Linked DNA regions of Oryzias latipes. The protein of the gene in region 2 interacts with the protein of the main gene of each other region in a pairwise test. Links are inferred from orthologs where the notes say so. Each region holds a gene or a part of one and is shown on either strand. Other genes may lie near its edges.

Region 1 (9,668 bases), on a different chromosome or scaffold from region 2:
GTTCCTGCTCGTACATGCTTGCAGCTTCCTCTGCACTGGACTCCAGCTCCACTGAAATCCCTGACAGAGATAAATTAATAAATTAAAAATCCCTGACAGAAAAACATCAGCTACCGTTCATCTTTCATTCAGGAAAAAGTTGAGTTCATCAAAATGAGGAGAAAATGGGTTAAACCAGAAATTCATTAGGGAGGGGTCAAAACACCAAACTCAGAATAAAATACATTATTTCAGTCTTATAAAAAATACATTCTAAAACAATTTGGTATTCCTCCTCTGCCTGAAAGACTAAAACGTTTTTTTTTAAAGATTTATTTTACACTACAGACTTTGCCACCTTTAGTTACACACCTGGACGTGTCTGATGATGTGCACATCCAGTCATTTACTGTCATGTTTCTGTGCACTGACACACTCCAAAGTCACAGATCTTAATAGTGTGAATAAGAAGCATTCATAAATGTTATTCTGAGACACAAACTGCTGCAGTTTACCTGACAGCTTTGCTGATTTATGCTGCTGGTACACCTGTCTGAGAATCCTGCCCACGTGACCCCCCCTCTCCAGCTGATGAGGTAACCTGTCATTAACGTATGACTGAAGGATCTTGGATCTGTCTGTAAACACCCACCTAGAAATCACGTTTAACGCTACATTTATTAGATCAAACAAATGTGCCTCCATACCTTATCAGTGGATGGCGGGACTGCATTTCCTGATGTGCGCCGTCTTTAACACCCGTTTCTTCGCAGCTGCTGCTTCAGACAGAATCCTCTCACGACATTTCGAAACATTTGTAAACCTGGTTGGTGTTGATATTTCTGTGTGCGTTCTGTCATCACATCCGCTAAATATTCAAAGATTAACGTTTATGTTAACGTTTTATCGTCCCTTTCATTGTTTACCTGCAGAACGGACGTCATCCACACAAACTACTTCCGGGTGACCGTTCTGCTTCAGACGAAATATTCAAAAAATAATTTAAACCTTCATTATCTGTTTGCTGCATTTTTGATTTAATATGTAAATGGGAAATACGGGAATTATCATGGTACATTGTTGTTTGGACGATAAAATCCGTCATCGCTTCATTTAAAATACTTTTCAGTTCAAATGATTGACAAACATCATCATCCAATCAGCGTTGTCCCATAGTACCTGCTTCTTCCGGTTTGGAAATGTTTTTCATTTTTGAAGATTTCGTTTTGTTTTCTGGAAATTCATTCTGTGTTCTGAAATGTTTTTCATTTTTTAATATTTCATTTTTTTTCTGAAATGTTTTTCATTTTTTAATATTTCATTTTGTTTTTCTGAAATGTTTTCATTTTTTTTATTTCATTTTGTTTTCTGGAAATTAATTTTTTTTCTGAAATGTTTTCATTTTGTAATATTTCTTTTTTTTGTGGAAATTAATTTTGTTTTCTGAAATCTTTTTTTCTTTTTTATGTTTTGGTTTCTGAAATTTTGTTTTGTTTTCTAAAATGTAATACGCTTTTTAAATTGTTGCTGTGATCTTAAAAATGTTTTTGTATCGAGTGATTTGTTGAATGGTTTGCACTTCAGGGCCACCGTAGTAAATTGATGACAGACAATATAAAAAATAGACTCAACCTTGTGTTAGGGGTTGTGGCTTGTTATAAATCAATCACGTTTTTGAGGTGAATTTGTTGGTTACGGTTACCATAGCAACCATGTCAGTGGATGTTTTCATGTGTTGCTGCAATTTGTGTTTCTTCTTTCCGTTTTGTGTACGTGACAATAGACCTTTTAAAGTAAGAAATGCGGGCTGCTCGTGAATTCAGATGTCACACAACCTTTTCTGACATAACAGTGGAACGCTGCCTGAAATTACTTGAAACCTTTGGTCATGAATAATTACAAGAACACAGGTAACTAACCCTGGAGTGAATCAAACCTGATGAAATGTCAGTGTCCTCTTAGCTGCGGTCCTGGCTGGTGATGTGTTTTTTCCCTATCACACACTTCCATCCAAAAAGGTCTAAACTACTCCGGTAGAATATTTATGATACAAGATCATTTGGAAAATCATTATAAACGTGCTTAGACCAGAAGTTATTTTTAAATCCTGAACATTTTTATCTGCTGCAAGAAAAGTGGCCAAGTCACGATAAAACAAACAGGAAAAAACGCAGAGAAGAGAGTCATGTACATGACTCAGCATGCGACTGAAACATGTCCAGCAGTCGATGACAGTGGCCTAGTTTACAAACCTAGTGGACAAACCTCATGGTTTAGTCTGCATGGTTTCTTTGTTTCCGTTTCATTTTTGTGGGGAAAGATTTATTATTAATTATAACCAAATGGAACACATCTTATAAATTGTAACTCATGCTGTCTTCCTATGTGTAATATGTAGGACTACTTACATTCCCTAAAACAAAACAACTGATTGAAAAAAAATAGGGATTAAAAAAGGGATTCAGCAGGTAACGAAAATGGATGGATGGAAATTAACATAAAAGTGTCTGTCACTAGGCTAGAAATGGGTTTATCTTTGCCTTAAAACTTGAATTTTAAAATGAGATTTGATAGGAAATGACTTCCCTGTGACACCAGCCCCCAGTGGTTTGCATTTAATTTGAGATTGGGAAGTGGACGCTTTATTCTACTGCATTCAAAAAGTGTTGTCTGTGTTCTTTTAAAGATCAGAACCAACACGTACGCTGGCATCATAAACCATTGAAAAAGAAACTATTACATCCCCTTTATTCACCTTCTAAACCTGGTTTAAACATCCAAAAGGTAGCTTGACCATGTTCAGATGTCTAAGTGCACCAAGTTCCTCCAATGGAACCCATCCGGGGTTCTGACAACCAAAACCCCGGATGTCAGAGTGACAGACAGAGTGGAGAGACGGAAACTACGGCCATTTGTACTATTTTCAGTTTTTTCAAAAGCTTTGTGTAACCCTTGTGCCATCCTAGGCACTTTAACATTGGGAGTTGGGTCATCTAGACCCACTAGACAGTGCGCTGAACCTTTTTTCTTCAATGATTTGTCAACCTCACTGCTGTCCATGGATTACATGAAATCTTTCCACCTTTATCCACCTTTGTCATGGTAGGGAGAACACGTCAATGCAAGGGTGAGGTCATCTAAGATAGCACAAGGGTTAAAGTCTCTGTTTGAGTTCTGTAAAAGATCCTCATTTTCTTCTTTTATATTGTCTCGTACTCTTGCAGTTAAATGCTGAAATAAAACATTGCATGTTTGCCTCATAAAGCAGATTTCCGGTTTGAACTTTGAGCTGCTGGGAACTTCACGACTAACTTGATCATGATCATGTGACAGAGAGAAGACGAACGATGACAGAGCACCTGCTGAAAATACTGATTGTTGGTGATGGAAATGTTGGAAAATCTTCCTTTGTAAACCGTTACATCAGTGGAAATTTCAACAGAACATACAAGATGACTGTAGGAGGTACGTTCATATCTTCTAGAACTATACATATGTGCTCTTGTTACTTTATACTGGTATTCACAAGAGAGGAAGCTCTACTTCCAGGTCAAATTGTCAGAATAATAAATCCGCTGTGCAATCTACCTTTATTTAAATATATATTTGTATATATATTTGTCTTGTTTAGTCAGAACATATTGTGTGTAGCAGTTTTTTTATTTCCTTGAATAAAATAAAATACTCCAGTTTACCTAAAATATGCGTAGAAAGGTGTGTTTTCTTTGTCCACACTGTAAGACGAGCGCTGTCAGGCTTTTTAAGCTGACTGGCTGGTTTCACCTTGAGTCACTGACTTCTTTTATGACTCAAACACAGCCACCTGTGTGGTTCAGGTTGAGATCAGCGCCCACTGTGGTCAACATGCAGGTTGTGGTCACATGGGTACTGACAGTATTTGTGTAAAGCTGACAGGGAGCAGAGACTACAGACGGCTTTAGGCATGTTTATGCAGTAGCTGTAATCCGTAACAGAGGCTAAACGCTGGTTCATAATCAACTAGAGGCCAGACGTTATGTGTCACACTCACTAAAGGATGGCTGCAGTGGAAGGAAAAAACACTTTTTTCCCTTCATTGTGTTCTCTGTTTGTGTTTTTTCAAACACACTTCTAGTGGATTTTGCTGTTAAACTGCTGCACTGGTCCGATGAAGAAAAAGTCAGGCTGCAACTTTGGGACATAGCAGGTACAAAGTGATTTCCAAACCAACCTTTGCTGTTATTGGTTATGGATGCAACAGTGAACTGTGTGTCCTCCTTTCAGGCCAAGAACGCTTCATATCCATGACCAGAATCTATTATAAAGGTGCAGTGGGCTGCATTGTGATGTTTGACATCAGCAGCTCATCCAGTTTCCTAAGCTGTCGCCTCTGGAAACAGGACCTGGACCACAAGGCCATGCTGCCGAACGGAGACACAATCCCCTGTCTCCTGCTGGCCAACAAGGTCATTCAGTCATAATACTTCATGATACATCAGTATAATGAACAGGCTGCTACACAACCAATACACATGTGACTGCAGCTGATTGCTGATGGGCTTCACATGGAAGGTTTTTAAAATTCTAAATGGCTCCAAAAAAAGGTTCTTGTTTCGTTACGGCAGCTGTATAAGTCAAGACACCCGCCGTCACTCGGTTGACGACAATTGAAAGAGCACAGTCAATGAGACTGAAATAGACCTACTTATCACTGAAAAACAAAAGGGAGTTGGAACAGTGACAAATGGAATAGAGGTCTTGTTTAAAAAACTGGAGAGAAACAATCTGAGATCATGTGTAGAAAAAAAAGTCTAGGCATGTCTGTGCAAAAACAAAAGTGTGTATTTTTATTATTTGAAACAAAGGTTTTTGCAGCAGCAGATGTTTTTGTTTCAGCATGTTATTGTAGTGTTTGTATTTACTGTGTATAATCATATGGAGAATCGAACTGACTGAGTGAGTGTGATGTCACCCATGAACTACTCTCGCCAATCAGGAGTGAGCTTGTTGGAAGGCCACACCCCTACCACTTGAAAGTAAGCTCTGGATATGAGACCACATACTTTTATTGAGGCATCTGATGGCAAGTTTATAACTTGAAAAACTTGCAGTACAGAAGAAAACAAATATTGTGAATTAAAATTAGCATTATCAACAACATGTTAAAAAGGCTAGAGTAAGAATGGTTATTCAAACAAATTGAATGATATTCAGAGTAATAGCTGTTTTTTTCTCTATAGAAGACTGCGGGATTTTTAGCTACTTCCAACCAGCAGGAAATTTCCTGTTTGGAACACAAGGGAAGAGGGGTCACTCAGTCCAGTTCTCATATACAGTCAATGGTGTAAACCTAACCTGACAAACCATGACTGTATTATCAGTTTACCAGAACATGAGCGGATCTGTTTTTCCTTTCACCAAAAAGAAAAAATTGGTCTCATGATTGTTTTTGCCAATCTTGTATTGGCACACTTTAAACACAAGAGCAAACCAAAACAAGAGAAGACACGACAGCTTCTGACAGTGATATCAACTTATTAAACATGAATCGCAAAAGGGTCTTGTTGCAGTGAATGCTGAGAGATTCTCTGTAAGTTACTGTCCTTTGCTGCTACAGTGTGACCTGGCTGAGCGGGCCGTGTCGGCAGACACTATTGATCAGTTTAGCGGAGCTAACGGCTTCTTCACCTGGATGGAGGCTTCTGTCAAAGAGAACAAGAATGTCGGAGAAGCCATGAGGTAAAAAAAGAAGACTCAATGTCAATGTAAAGAAATGATTGCAAACCTTTTAGAGAGTCATGACAAAAAAGTATTTAGTCAGCCACCAATTGTTCAGGTTCTCCCACTTAAAAAGTTGAGAGAGGCCTGTAATTTTCATCATGGGTAAACCTCAGCAATGAGAGACAAAATGAGAAAATAAAATACAGATAAATCACTTTGTCTGATTTTCAAAGAATTTATTTGTTTACTATTGTGGAAAATAAGAATTTGATCACCCACAAACAAGCAAGATCTCTGACTCTCATAGACTTGTAACTTCTTCTGTAAGAAGAACCTCTGTCCTCCACTGGTTACCTGTATTAATGGCTCCTGTTTGAACTGCTTATCTTTATAAAAGACATCTGTCCACAACTTCAAACAGTCACACTCCAAACTCCACTAAAGACCAAAGAGCTGTCTAAGGACACCAGAAACCAAATTGTTGACCTGCACCAGGCTGGGAAGACTGGATCTGCAACAAGTAAGCAGATTGATTTGAAGAAATCACCTGTGAGAGCAATTATAAGGAAATGGAAGACATACAAGACCACTGAAAATCTCCCTCCATCTGGGGCAAGTTCTCACCCCGTGGGGTCAAAATTATCTCAAGAACAGTGAGCAACCCCAGAGTTGCATCCAAAGCACACTATACTATAAGGCATTGGGGGTGGAAACATCATGCTTTGGGGCTGCTTTTCATCAAAGGGACCAGGACAACAGGTTTTTTAGTCAAAACCTCCTTCCATCAGCAAGGGCATTGAAGATGAAATGTGGCTGGGTCTTTTAGCATGACAACGATCCCAAACACACTACTCAGGTAACGGTGGCTTCGTGAAAAGTATTTCAAGGTCCTGGAGTGGCCTAGCCACTCTCCAGATCTCAACCCCATAGAAAACCTTTGGAGGGAGTTAAAAGTCCATGTTGCCCAGCAACAGCCCCAAAGCATGACTCCTCTAGAGGAGATCTGCATGGAAGAATGGGCCAAAATACCAGCAAGTTTGTGAAAACCTTGTGAAGTGAGTCTTCACAAGGTTGGCTGCCATTGCCAACAAATGGTATATAACAAAGTATTGAGTTGAACTTTTTTTTATTGACCAAATTCTTATTTTCCACCATAATTTACAAATTAAATGTTTAATTAAATATTAAATTAAATATTCTTTATAAATCAAAGTGATTTATCTGGATTTTTTTCTCATTTTGTCTCTCATAGATGACATTTACCTATGATGAAAATAACAGACCTCTCTCATCTTTTTAAGTGCTAGAACTTGCACAATTAGTGGTTGACTAAATACTTTTTTGCCGCACTGTCTACGTGAAGTTAATCATTTTAGTATTACCTGCAGGGTCTTCTGCAGCAATCTTATGGAAGGATGAGATAGTAATGCTCTTAATGTGACCTCATCATATGTTAGTGAAGTTAAGATTTTAAGAATTTAGATTTAAACCAAAATTTGCTGCAAATCTATTTTTTTCCCCAGGAGGTTAGTCCAGGAGATTTTATCTGTTCATCTGAAGCCCTCACAGCCTCTGCCTGAAGGAAGCGTCTTCCTGCAGCAGGACTCTGAGTTCAACACCGACACTGGCAGAAGCTGCTGCTGACACAACTTGTTCCACAGCTGGACCCCAACAAACACAGCTAATGAATCCTCATTGTGTTGGAAGCGCTGCTTCAAATAGACTCACTGTTATGAGTCTAATTCTGTCTCATGATCAGAGCTACTTTCTATAGGTCAAGGAAACAAGCTGGTAATCAGAGCACATTCACCTTTTTTGGTTGGTTTCTTTGTATGGTTGATGTTTTATTGGATGAATGCCATAAAGCATTCAATCCATTGTTTTCCTGCTTCTCTTTCCATCTTTATTATAGTTTCCTCTACCATTTTTTGGCACTTAACTCCTACAATTTTTCAGCTATTTTAACCATTCATCTATTAAAATGTTCAGCTCTTTCAGCTTCTTCCAGTTATGACATTTGGTTCTTCAAATCCTTGAACTTTTCAAGATATTCCAGGATTTTTGCCTCCACTGAAATACATGGGGAATTCTTGGTGCAGAAGCTCGCTGGTTCGATACCCAGCGCGGGCATTTTTCACAAAAATCTTTTGTTATCATCTTGCTGTTATATTTATGTCCAACTTTGATCGTTTAGTTTTTTGTTGTCAATTATTACCCTTCAAATTTCATTCAGCAATGCAGCAGCCAACCCTGCATTTACTTCTGGAAATGCAGCTCCATAGTTTTTGTTGCATGAATGTCCCTTACACAGAAAATCCTAATAATGTCTTTAGCTGATGAAGACCAATTAAGAATGAAAAGAGACAATGAGAGCTGAGTGGTTTATTTCAAGTAACTGCTAAAACAAAACGTTCAAGTACAACCTGACAGAAATGCAAAAGAGATTGACACTGTTGGAAGCTAATTAACATAAATGTAAGGGATTTATTCTTTAATAAATGGATTCTCTTTTTCAACTGTTATAACCTGTATGTTTTTTGGTTAATAAAAATTAATAAAAATAATGATACTTATACATGTTATTTACTATGTGCTTTTCTCGGAACTCAAGGTCGCCCAACAGGGATAAAAGCACAGATTTTTTTTTAAATGTAAAAAAAAAAAAATGCAATATTATATCAAGATGTAACATGATTTTAATAATAAAAAGGACAGTCTAGTTAAGTACAAAAACGCAATTTAGAAAAAAAAAAAAAAAAAAAAAAAAATCCTGTAGTGTCTCTCTGTTACGGCCCCAACAGGCAAACCTGTCACAGTCTTAGGAAAATCAAAAAGGGGCCAAAACATATGAACAATGGAACAAAAAAGTTTAGGAACAGTTTATTACGAGGAAGAAGTAACCTGTATTCTGTGAAACAAAAGAAAATAGATAATTACTGTGCTGGTCCCAACAAAAGACAAAACAGAGGGATTGGAGCCTTGGCCAAACATAAAATAAGTCAGGGAGACAACTGACCCAGCCACATTGACCGTCGGAGTCAGCAGCTCCCTGCTAAGGCTGCCTAACAGAATCTAACTATTAAAAATAAATAAACAAGGCCCGCAAATAAGGACTACCAAGGTCCAACCCCAAAACAAAATAACAAAACCCAGCAGTATAAGACTGCTGAGGACCAAGAGGGAATCAAAAGAGAAACAACCAACCAGCACAGCTCCAACACAAAACAACTGCTCCTCAGCCTCCTGCCTGCCCTCTCTGCATGTCTTACCTCACTTAAATACCTGGCAGGTGCTGATCAAGACTATTAGCTTCAGCTGCCAGGTGAGCAGAGTGTTGGAATAATGCAGCAGCAGCAGCACATAACACTCTCTATGAACTGTTTGCTGTTATTTTAATCTTTTACCGGAACTTTTATCACGTTCTTTTCTGAAAGATCCAAAGACAGACAACTGGAGAGAAAAAAATTACTAAGTTAACTATAATGTGACTTTAAAAAACCAAAACAACCAAACTTTACAAGATGCTAAATTAAAAACAAACCAAAGAGCAATAAAAATGTGTAAAGACAGAAATCTGTGTGAATGGCAATGGCTTTGACACACCAGATGATAACTGACTGTGAGAAAGCAGCTGTGACAATTACAAAGAGGAGATGGGGCACACAGGGAAAGAACTCAAAACAGTTTGATAAGAAGCTCGATATGAAAACACAAAAACACATCTAGCAAGAATTTGAAACAAAGCTAAACTAAAGATCCCCTTAAGACGTGAGAGAAATGCTCAAATGTTTGTTTGAGAGGAGCAGGAGTATGAAGACTTATGTTGTTTTAGACGGGTGTTGGTCGTTTCCCATGAAGCTCCAGTTTAAACAGACACCCATGAGTTTGGTTTAAAACAAACTGTGCCAATCTGTATATATTGTATAATTTCTCCAAAATCTTCAGAGCAACATGTAAATATTTGGAAGCATATTTTTTTACCAAATAAT
Region 2 (9,680 bases):
TATCTGAATCGAAGCAAACCTTTACATTAAAGTGTATGAGACTGTGAGCAGACTTGGTCAGCTACTGATAACCCGGTTATGAATGAGAAATAAAAACAGCACGTAAGCAACCTAACAGTGTTTCTGAAAACTCGACAGATTCTTCACAATCAGAAGAGCAGATTTTAGTTTTCTGAAGAATCCGTCTCCTCTGTGGAGCCGTCGCTCTCCACCTCCATCTTCCGTCTGTGGTGGATGTTTCTGCGGGGGGAGGCCCTCCTCTGCACCTCCTTCAGCCCTCCCACAGCACTGCCGCTGCTGTTGCTGCCAGGACTCACAGAGATCTGAGCAATCCTGCGGAGCGACAACACCACAGACCAGAGTTGATGTGCGTGGTTCTCAGCTAACACAGCATCTTTTGGTAAAGCATGCTTTGAACTTTAAGACAGATAGATGCTTCATCTGATCAGCTGCCAGCTCTTCATCATCTTTTTTGACATGGTTTTTGTTTGGATGCATGTGCTCTTACAGTTTGTCCAGTTCCTGGTCCATCTCTGGGTCAAAGAAAAGCTCCGCCCTGCTGGGCAATGCTCCTGCATGAATGAGAGGATTGAAGCTTTAACGTAAAAAAAGAGACGTTGGACTGTTTCTTATGCAAAGGCCATTCATTTTTGATAATAGAAACTTTGTGGAGGACTACCCCACTCATGCCATGGTCCCTTAAGAGATAAATAATTATTAGTACTTCCATCTCACTATTTTTATTGTTTAAACTGTTTTTCACAAAAAGCAAACTGTTTGATATGCAGTCTGATGTGTTGTCATGGTAACGGCTACTGAGTCTGCACCAACCGCAGCAGCGGAGGAAAGTGCTATATAGGCTACAAGTTATGTTAAGTGATACAAAGCATTATTTCAGAGGGAAAGTTCACCTCTTAGCACTTGTTTTTGTCTAGATGAGGAAACAAAATCTGTTTCAAAGAAACAAAGTCCACAAATAGTTTCCTAGATCACTTTCACTGTAAGAAATATCCTCAATTAAGTAATGGATAATGCCCAATGAGGTTTAAGTGATCATAAAATAACAGACAACGTGGAAACCCGAACGCAGCCTGAAGTTGCTCCGGGAAAGGGAAGGGGGGTGGGGTTTCTCTGCACCCAATTGTCCCGCCCACAACTATAAGGGGAATTTCTACAGAACTTCTGCTGCTCTGCAGAAATTATGTCCTAGAACACAACACAAGTTTTGATTTTGGCTAAAAATGGCATAATCATAATTCAAAGACCCATGGAAACGGTTTGGAAATAGATCAAAAGATGATCAGAGTGGGTCTGTACATGCTAGTTTCCCTATAACATAACTGAACCTACCGATGCTTTGATTGATGGCCTCATGCTTAGCCAGACTCATGAGGAAGCTGTAGTAAGAAACCTTGTCGGTCTGATCCAGGATTTCCCTCACACACGCCCTGGAAGGATGGCTGGAGAGCAGAAACACGGAGCATTGATGTGGAGTCATTGCCACAGACCTGATTCTGCTCTGAGCAGTTTACCTGTGCTTGAACCTGTCGCAGAGAGCATCCACACAATCGGCCAGCAGGCACGCCTCCACCCCATCTCGCTGCGGCTCCTCCTTATCGTTCTCCTCCACAACCACAGAGGGCAGCTGCTCCACTAAGGCCGAGGTGGGGACGAACACGGTGTTGGGACTCTTCCCTGCGAGCAGATCCTGGTAGATCACCAAAACGCTCTCCAAGAATTCTGTAGACACAGAGACCGCAACAAGGAATAGAACAAAAACAACCCAATCAGGACAACAGTCCTAAACAAAAGCTGCTTTTCTCAGAGGGAGCAAGTGTAAAGACATCAGGCTGTCACAACTGAAACAGGGGCTGCCATCAAATTCCTCAGGAAAAGAATATTTCAAGAAATGGCTCACTTTCAAAAATGCATTTTTTCCCTATGTTTTAACTTTAAAAAAACATTTAAGGGACAAACAAATCATTGCATTCTTTCCATTTAGGAGTTTTGCCTAACTGGATGCCTCACCTTGGTAGTAAAACTGCAGCTGGAAGGCATAAATGAAGTCAGAGAATGACATCAGACAATCTGTGGCGTCGTCCATCAGAACAATTCTGCAGAACAAAAAGAAGAACACTCATAAACGCTGGGGATCCGTTGTGACAGGAGAGAGCCTGCGGTCCACTAAAATCTGTGTCTCCTGATCATAACAAGCTCTTCTAACACGTTTCAGTGTAGATGTTTGGAAACAAAGCTGTTCAGGAACGGTTGAGTAATATTTTCTCTGTCGCTGCCCGTGGAATGATAACAATTCTGCTTAAAGCAACATATTTGGAAAGGAGCTCTTTTTAAAACACGTTGTACGAAAGAACTTCTTCCCTTAACCTGCTGGTTCCAAACACTGTGAGGTGTTAAACCAATCTTTAGCTGGTAATGAGAAAAAACAGGAAAAAAAACACTTTATTCTCTTTTACCAGTAACTTGTAGGGGGTAAGAATACAAAGAGAAAGATTAATACAGAAAACAGCTGAGAATATTTTGTTGTAGTTTTTTTTCTTTAGTCAAGACAGCCATTCAGGGGAGACCTGGTATAAATGAGGGCGCGGATTCAAACATTTGATACTTTTTAAATAACATGCTCATACTTTGACTGAGAAAGAAAAAAAGGGTCAAACAGGGATTAGTCACATAACATTTAAGCTTTTTTTAAAAACAAAAATAAAAATATTAGCGTGAAGGTAAAGAAAAAATATTAAGCACTTTATTTCATAAAATGGATGAATGCAGCATTAGGGCCATCATAAAATGAATAAATATAATAGAGGAAAGTTGTAAAATTGTTTGAAAATAGTCAATATTCCATGAACATAAAAGTCTTGAATTTATGAGAAAAAGTCATTTTACTAGTCATAAAGTCATAAATGTATGCTCCTAAAAGTCATAATTTTACAAGTAAAAAGTCTGGTTTTTCATTTAAAAAATAAAAAGTTATATTTACTTTTAAAATTTTTCTGTTATGGCTGTAATATTGTTTTTTGTACTTTGCAGTATTTTCTGTCTCTGTTTTCTTTTGTTTTCTGCTGCAGTGGGAGATTCAGTCTTTGTACTACATTTGTCCGGAGATTGGAGCTGAGGCGTCCACCTCAGTGTTCAAATACTGCCACATCAACCAAGCTGGCAGCAGCAGAGCTTTACTTTATTTGCTATTGTTAGAGGCTTTGGTCCTTGTTTTTAGGTTATTTTTGTGTAGTTTGAGTTTTTCTGTAAATAAATTCCCAGCTTATTTTGAGCCTGGTTTTGTTTGTGAGAGTTTTTTTAGTTGTTGGGATATTTAATTTGTTCCTTTTACTTTTATGTTACATCCTTTTACAAGCCCCTAGACAGGGATGTAACAGTTTCAAAGACAACCAAACATGACCTTTTTAATTTATGTTTCAGACAATTCAGAGAAATCAAACTGCTAAAGAATCTTAATTAAACTTTATTTGTGAGTGAACTACTTTATTTTGATGAAATTACAACTTTATTTTTGGAAGAAAATTTTATTTTTTCCTTTTTTAATTGTGAGTTTTTGATTTAAATTTTTAAAATTTTGCTATAAAATATTGACTTCTTTCTAATAATTGCACAACTTTATTCTACTAAAATTCATCTCATAACATAATTATTTTATGGTAGCCCTAATACTCCATCAAATTTTCCAGATCTGGTTTTCCTCAAATGCTGTTTACGTGTTTCTGGTTTCCACCTGAAACCATCAACCACTTACTAAATGTTTCTGCCCTCACCTGGCTGCGCTCTGCACCACCTCCATTGAGAAGTCGGGACACAGTAACTGCAGCAGGGACCTGTAGTCCTGCACAGATAACAGCTCTGCAAAAAATCACCACCACATGTTTAATTGTAACCCAGAAGGTGAAGCAGATCACATCCTTCGAAACTCAAACACACAAAATCAGACAGAAGTAATGATGGATCAGTCACCTCCACTCTTGCCAATTTGTCTGAAGCATCTCCAGAAAACTCGAATAAAGGAGGCCTTGTTGTGAGGAGTGGCTCGGATGTAGTTAAACTCCCTGAAGAGGACATGGTTGCTGTTCTTCACGCTGCTGAAACTACAATCACACATAACAAATCCACAGGTGAAGGTCTCTGTGTGTCTTGATCCCTAATTTTTTCTTGTGTTTTTATATTGACCAATATTGGGATTTTAACTAGTTATATGTTTATGTTTAATCCACTGCCTCATCTGTCTCTCTAAACCTTTTAATCTCACACTTTTCAGTCAATTACAAAGAAACTGGAGTCACAGAAACGTGCTGCTCCTTGTCAGTTAACAGGTCTGTATGTCAGAAAAAGGAACTTAGACTTTAGTCACAGTTAAACTCCCACTCTAATCGTCTTTTGATCTAATCTAAAAGTGTTCCCAGTGGTCTTTTAATCATGATTATGCCGCTTTAGGCAAAACCCTAAAACGTGTAATTTCTGTATAGCGGCAGTTCATTCGAAATTTGCCTATGAGCTGTGGTCAGGAGTTGTGGTCAAGACTTGTGGCGCAGAGTAAGCCTTCCCTCATTTCCCATCATTTCTTTACAATCCCTCCTTTCTAGCTTACAACCCCTCACACCCCCAACCTGACATTACTGGTGCAACAACATGAGCAGTATTGTAGCTACCCAGCCATTCAGTTTGGAGCCAGATGCCAGCTCAGACGAGGAGAACCAAGACGTACGTGAATCTTTTTGTCTGAAAGTGGATGCATCAGAATGGAGCGGAGCAGGGAACTTGTGGCCAGCCGTACATCACACTTACAAGCTTTTTCCAACAGCATTTTTGATTCTGCTCCTGACTTGCAATTATTTGAATAAAGAATCATTCAGAAATAATATAATTAGCTCTCTTTATAAATGAACTCCATCATCAGAGAAATGTCACAAGAATGTGTAAGAAACACAATTGTCATTGGAGTAGCTTTATTCGTCCTTGTAGACAATTGTTTACTCCTATTCTTTGGTTCCAGAGCATTTCGGTCAGGTCTAAATATTAAAGTATTTTAACATGAGTCTATGAGTCTAATACTGTCATTTGTGACAAAACACAAATTTTAACTATAAATATATTTATAAAACGTGTGTTGAAACTACAGCCAAGTGAGCATCTACTGTCTACTGAAAGGAGACATTCAATTCCAGTAAATGATGCTCCTACAAAATACTCAAAATGTCTTCCTTTGAGAAAACATTCACAGTTGAGTATTGTCTTATTAAAACTTTAATCTGGACTAACTGGACCGGGTTTGGACAGCCAGTCCGTTCCACTCTTGGTGTGAATCGCTGTGAACAACCTGCGTCACGTACTATTCGGCGAAGTATCGGATCAGTCCGAACTGGGTGTACTCCTCTTTGTGTTCCAGCAGCTGGTTTACGGCATCACCCAGGTAGAAAAGGACGTGACTTTCCGCTTGAGAAAGAAAAAACAGACACGTAAATATGAAGAAACCAGAACTGGACCGAACCGAGATCCAGAAGAGAGGGTACCTACAACCAGCACTAACTTACCGAGATACTCCTCTACCGGAACGGCGGCGCTTAGGCGGCTCATTTTGTTTGTTCAGTCGGAAAACCTGCTCAGATCGTCCTAAACAACCCCGAAGAACACGAACCCGAACTCCGTTTATCGAATCTGTTTAGTAAATATCGGCTCCATGGACCTAACATCGTCTTGTCTGACGGGATGGTCCGTGCAAGGGAAAAGGCGGATGTTGTGAGCTACATTAATTCGAGTCCCCCTCGAGCGCGCAACAAAGGTTCCCCCTAACATTACAAATGAAAAATCGCTTTTAGAAGCAATAACTACAGAAATGAACGAATCAATCAACAATATTGATATAATTGAGGGACCAAACAACAACGAAACATAAACTAACACAAATCTGGATAAAAACAGACACAGTCATTAGTCCCACTTCAGACTGCAGAGTCTGTCAGTCACATCATAGTTTACGGTACACACGCCCAGCGAGCTGAAAAGACGATATAAAGCGCTAATATCACCCATGTCACAGGAACCCATTATCAAATAACATGTACTGTGCTCTGAAATAAACGAGAGCTATTGCAAGCCCTATATTGTTATTTGATGTACAAATGTATTCATTTGGATTGCATGTCTGTTCATTCCACAATAAACTACCGGAAATAACGTGTTTTGTCTGAAATATAATCAATCAGACAGATTCTAAAAGTGAGATTTAACACTGACAAGAGTGTTTTGTGGGTTGTTGAGCATGACATGGAATGGAATCAAACAGCAATGAAGAAACTCCACGTAAAAGGGCACATCTGGTCATGGCAACTCTTTCTAAGTTGCTTCATTTAAGCTGACGCAAAATTTTCACTGGATTATTGTTGGTAATGTTGTTCGTGATCATCTCTACAGGTTTGAAGAAAATTGACTGGAGAAAATGAGAGAAATTGACATTATAGTCTAATTTAGGCTCCCTCACACATAGTCATAGTATAACATGTGAACCATCCAAAACACCACTTTTTTAAAAGGTGATGTAAAACTTTCACTGGATAATTGTTGGTAATGATGTTCATGATAATCATAGATGGACCTATGAGACCTAACAGAGAGGGAATTTAAAATTGTTGAATTAGTGTGATTGATTTGAAGGAAAGATTGGAGAATGGTTTTTATAATGTTGGTATATTGTCTCCCATCATGTAAGTTAAACCTATATAAATATGCCTTCACTCATCCAGTTTTTTTAAAATAAAGATTTATTTCAGCATAAGACATATTGTGATTTCCATTTGGGAGTGTTATATGGGTCTGAAATAATGTTTATATGCGGAAAATGTATATGGTAGAGTAAAAAAAATGTGTTTTTTTCAAATTGGTTTGTTTACCCACAGCCAATAGGAAAGACATGTGTGTGAAAGGAACGTATGAAATTATCCAATAGCACACAAACTGACAGAAATCTGGGCGGATTTAATGTTCAAACAGTTTTTATCCATTGGGTGTTATCTTATTTTTGTCCAATCAGCATAGGGCTATCAATATTGGGGGTTGTCCCTATTTCAAATTCAACCAATCAGCTGCATCGTCACTAAACACTCAAGGAAGCCAGTTGGACCAAATGTACACGCGTCAAATGTTAACTAAAAGGTATTGATCCGATGTTTAAAAGTCTTTGTTTGCACTTCGTGCTTTTGTTTGAATGTATAAGTTTCGAGGTTTGATGTACTTAGGGTGGTGTCCCGAGTCTCCGCCTTCCTCTGTCTCTCCACCCTTGTAATTTAAAAAGAATAGTCAAGTTTGATGTGTGTTTGCAACGGAGGGCCGGAAGTTGATTTTAGAACGAAAATTAGTCAATCAAACCTTCGCTTATAATTGGAACTATTTGAGTAATTTTATATTTTTGTATTTTCTACTGTCAAGTGTCTCTAAATACATATCATACCAATTTGAAATTTGCCGAAATGCTTTATGGAAGGAGGCTCAGTAAAGGGGACTCTTTTAATTTGTACAGGAAGTGGAAAGTTGCTAACATCCGCAAACTGCTTGTATAAAACTCGACCGAGCTCTGTGGTGATCTCATTGTCTGTCATTTTACTGAGTTGCCATCATCTTATAGTCCCCAGGAGGCGCACACAGGTATGTCGTTGATTTTAGTTTATTTTGGGGCGCTAACCAAATGTCGAATTACATTTAGGAGCCGTATCGTGGTGCTGTGTGTGTTGTTGGTCTGTCGGCGAGAACTGCGTTGTTAGGCCTGTCTGGTGGCAGGGGTGAACGGTTAGCCCGTAGCCCTGTTCCTAAGCAACTAACGGCGGCTACAGAGAGCGATGGAGCATCGTTAGTTCAGCAGAATTGGACTTTAATCTTACGTTTCTTGGAAAATGCACGTACAGTTTATAAAGACTGTTAAAAATTTAACCCTGGGAGGTTTTATCAATTTTAGGAGGCTACCTTACCTTAGCCAGTAGCCACTGTGTTTGCTGAGGTTAATGGCGCTCGTTTTTGACTGGTAACGATTGCTAGTTTAAGATGCTGACCACTCCTATATATCAGGTTGTTGATTTTTAGGGACACATTCCTTGACTGGCTTTTTGTGGGGGGTTTGACTAGTTGCTGGTTGCACGAAGACGACCATTGTCTTGGTGGAGACTAAAATGCAACGATGATGATATCGCGTTGTTTCTCTGTGAGGTTGGATGGATGCTGGATGGATCTCTGGCGCTCGTGCCTGACATCTGTACTTATCAAAATAAAGGCTGCATAGACTGTCATGATGATATTATGTTCTACAGAACCGTGTGAAGATCTTGACCTTATCTGGTGTTTATATCTAGTTTTTCCCCCTTGCCGTACCACATTATTAGTCACTAATAAACTGAACCATAATAGGAATGCCCTTTTAATTGATGTTGCTGTTTCAGTAATAGTTGGAGATTTGGTAAGTGGAAGTTCCTGCCCAAAAGTATTGGTGTTTCAATTATTGACACAAACATCAGCTCTTTATAGGCTTCTGCTGCTTTTTAACCTGGAAAAATGGCCGGTTCCCTGCAAGTCCCATTGGTGTTGAAGCTTGTCCTGCTTTTGTCCTTTTTCAGCAAATGCAGTGTTTCTGTGACATAATGTATAGATAAAATGAGGAGCAAACAGTAAGTTTTGTGAGGATCATTAACATGAATGGCCTACCCCCCCCCCCATTTAAATTCTAGAATTTTAATTCAATAAAAATTGGGTTGCATGAATGTGATCGAAATTATAATTAACATTTTAAAGTCCCACTTTAACCATCTTTTGATCTATTTTAAAATTGTTCCCAGGGGTCGTTGTTATTATGACTATTCTGTTTTTTTTTTAAAGCCAAAATAAAAAAAAACCTGTCATTTTTTTTTTTTTTTTTGGACGTGGATTCTGCAGAGCAGCAGTTGTTCATTAGAAATTTGCCTCCAAGTTGTGGATTGGACTGTTTGCATGGAGTAAGCTCGCCCCTGCTTCCTGACATCCCTCTGTTGCTCTGCCGGTAGCTCACAGCCCTTTACAACCCCACCCTTACATTACCGGTGCAACAAAAATGGCAAGCATGCACTTTTATTTTGACACGCTAAACATTGTACATCGCACAGGTGTCATCATCCTCTCCCCTTCCCACACTCGTGGTGCTAAAAAGAAGTAAACACAACAGGAAGAATTAACTAAGGGTGAAACAACGTAACTGCCAGATGAAGGGACCCGTAGGCAAAAAGAAACACCCGTGCTCAACCCTATTTTGACCAAAGCAGGCCTAGGGGATTCATTTAATTCCCTGCGATGCAAGCTCCTACAGTAACCCCTGCGGAACTCCGACAGCAGACCAAACGTGCACGTGACCGACACTACAGTACAACAAAATAATATGACTTTCATGAAAACTGGTATTTTCTAAACATAACAATAAACAATAATTATGACATGAGCAACGTCCTCTCTGCCCGCCACACTCCCTGATCGCTATTATTATAACATTTAAACATGCCTTTAAAATAAGTGCATGGAAAATCCAAATCACCACAATGCTGAATGGTTCAAGGGAATCTCCCGTTGGGATAAAACCGTATTTTAAGTAGGACTCCTGATGCTGTCTATTAAATGTATTTTTTGGAAGTCGAAGGCTCCTCTTC

Evidence for each region.
Region 1: the proteins of c6h11orf49 (region 2) and ras-related protein Rab-7L1 interact in a two-hybrid assay, tested with the Homo sapiens proteins (2 studies listed by BioGRID and IntAct). The two-hybrid records come from large-scale screens. The link is inferred for Oryzias latipes from reciprocal best matches to the Homo sapiens genes CSTPP1 and RAB29.

The regions. Positions count from the first base shown.
Region 1 is NC_019865.2:28,346,041-28,355,708, forward strand, and holds ras-related protein Rab-7L1, read left to right. Parts: upstream 1-3,208; 5' UTR 3,209-3,326; coding exon 3,327-3,444; intron 3,445-4,093; coding exon 4,094-4,165; intron 4,166-4,242; coding exon 4,243-4,424; intron 4,425-5,575; coding exon 5,576-5,697; intron 5,698-7,202; coding exon 7,203-7,323; 3' UTR 7,324-7,690; downstream 7,691-9,668. UniProt on the Homo sapiens protein: The small GTPases Rab are key regulators in vesicle trafficking. Essential for maintaining the integrity of the endosome-trans-Golgi network structure.
Region 2 is NC_019864.2:27,044,164-27,053,843, forward strand, and holds the start of c6h11orf49 (UPF0705 protein C11orf49 homolog), read right to left. Parts: upstream 5,785-9,680; 5' UTR 5,602-5,784; coding exon 5,559-5,601; intron 5,461-5,558; coding exon 5,358-5,460; intron 4,116-5,357; coding exon 3,985-4,115; intron 3,874-3,984; coding exon 3,789-3,873; intron 2,115-3,788; coding exon 2,029-2,114; intron 1,741-2,028; coding exon 1,533-1,740; intron 1,461-1,532; coding exon 1,351-1,460; intron 573-1,350; coding exon 509-572; intron 334-508; coding exon 165-333; 3' UTR 1-164. UniProt on the Homo sapiens protein: Regulator of the tubulin polyglutamylase complex (TPGC) that controls cytoskeletal organization, nuclear shape, and cilium disassembly by balancing microtubule and actin assembly.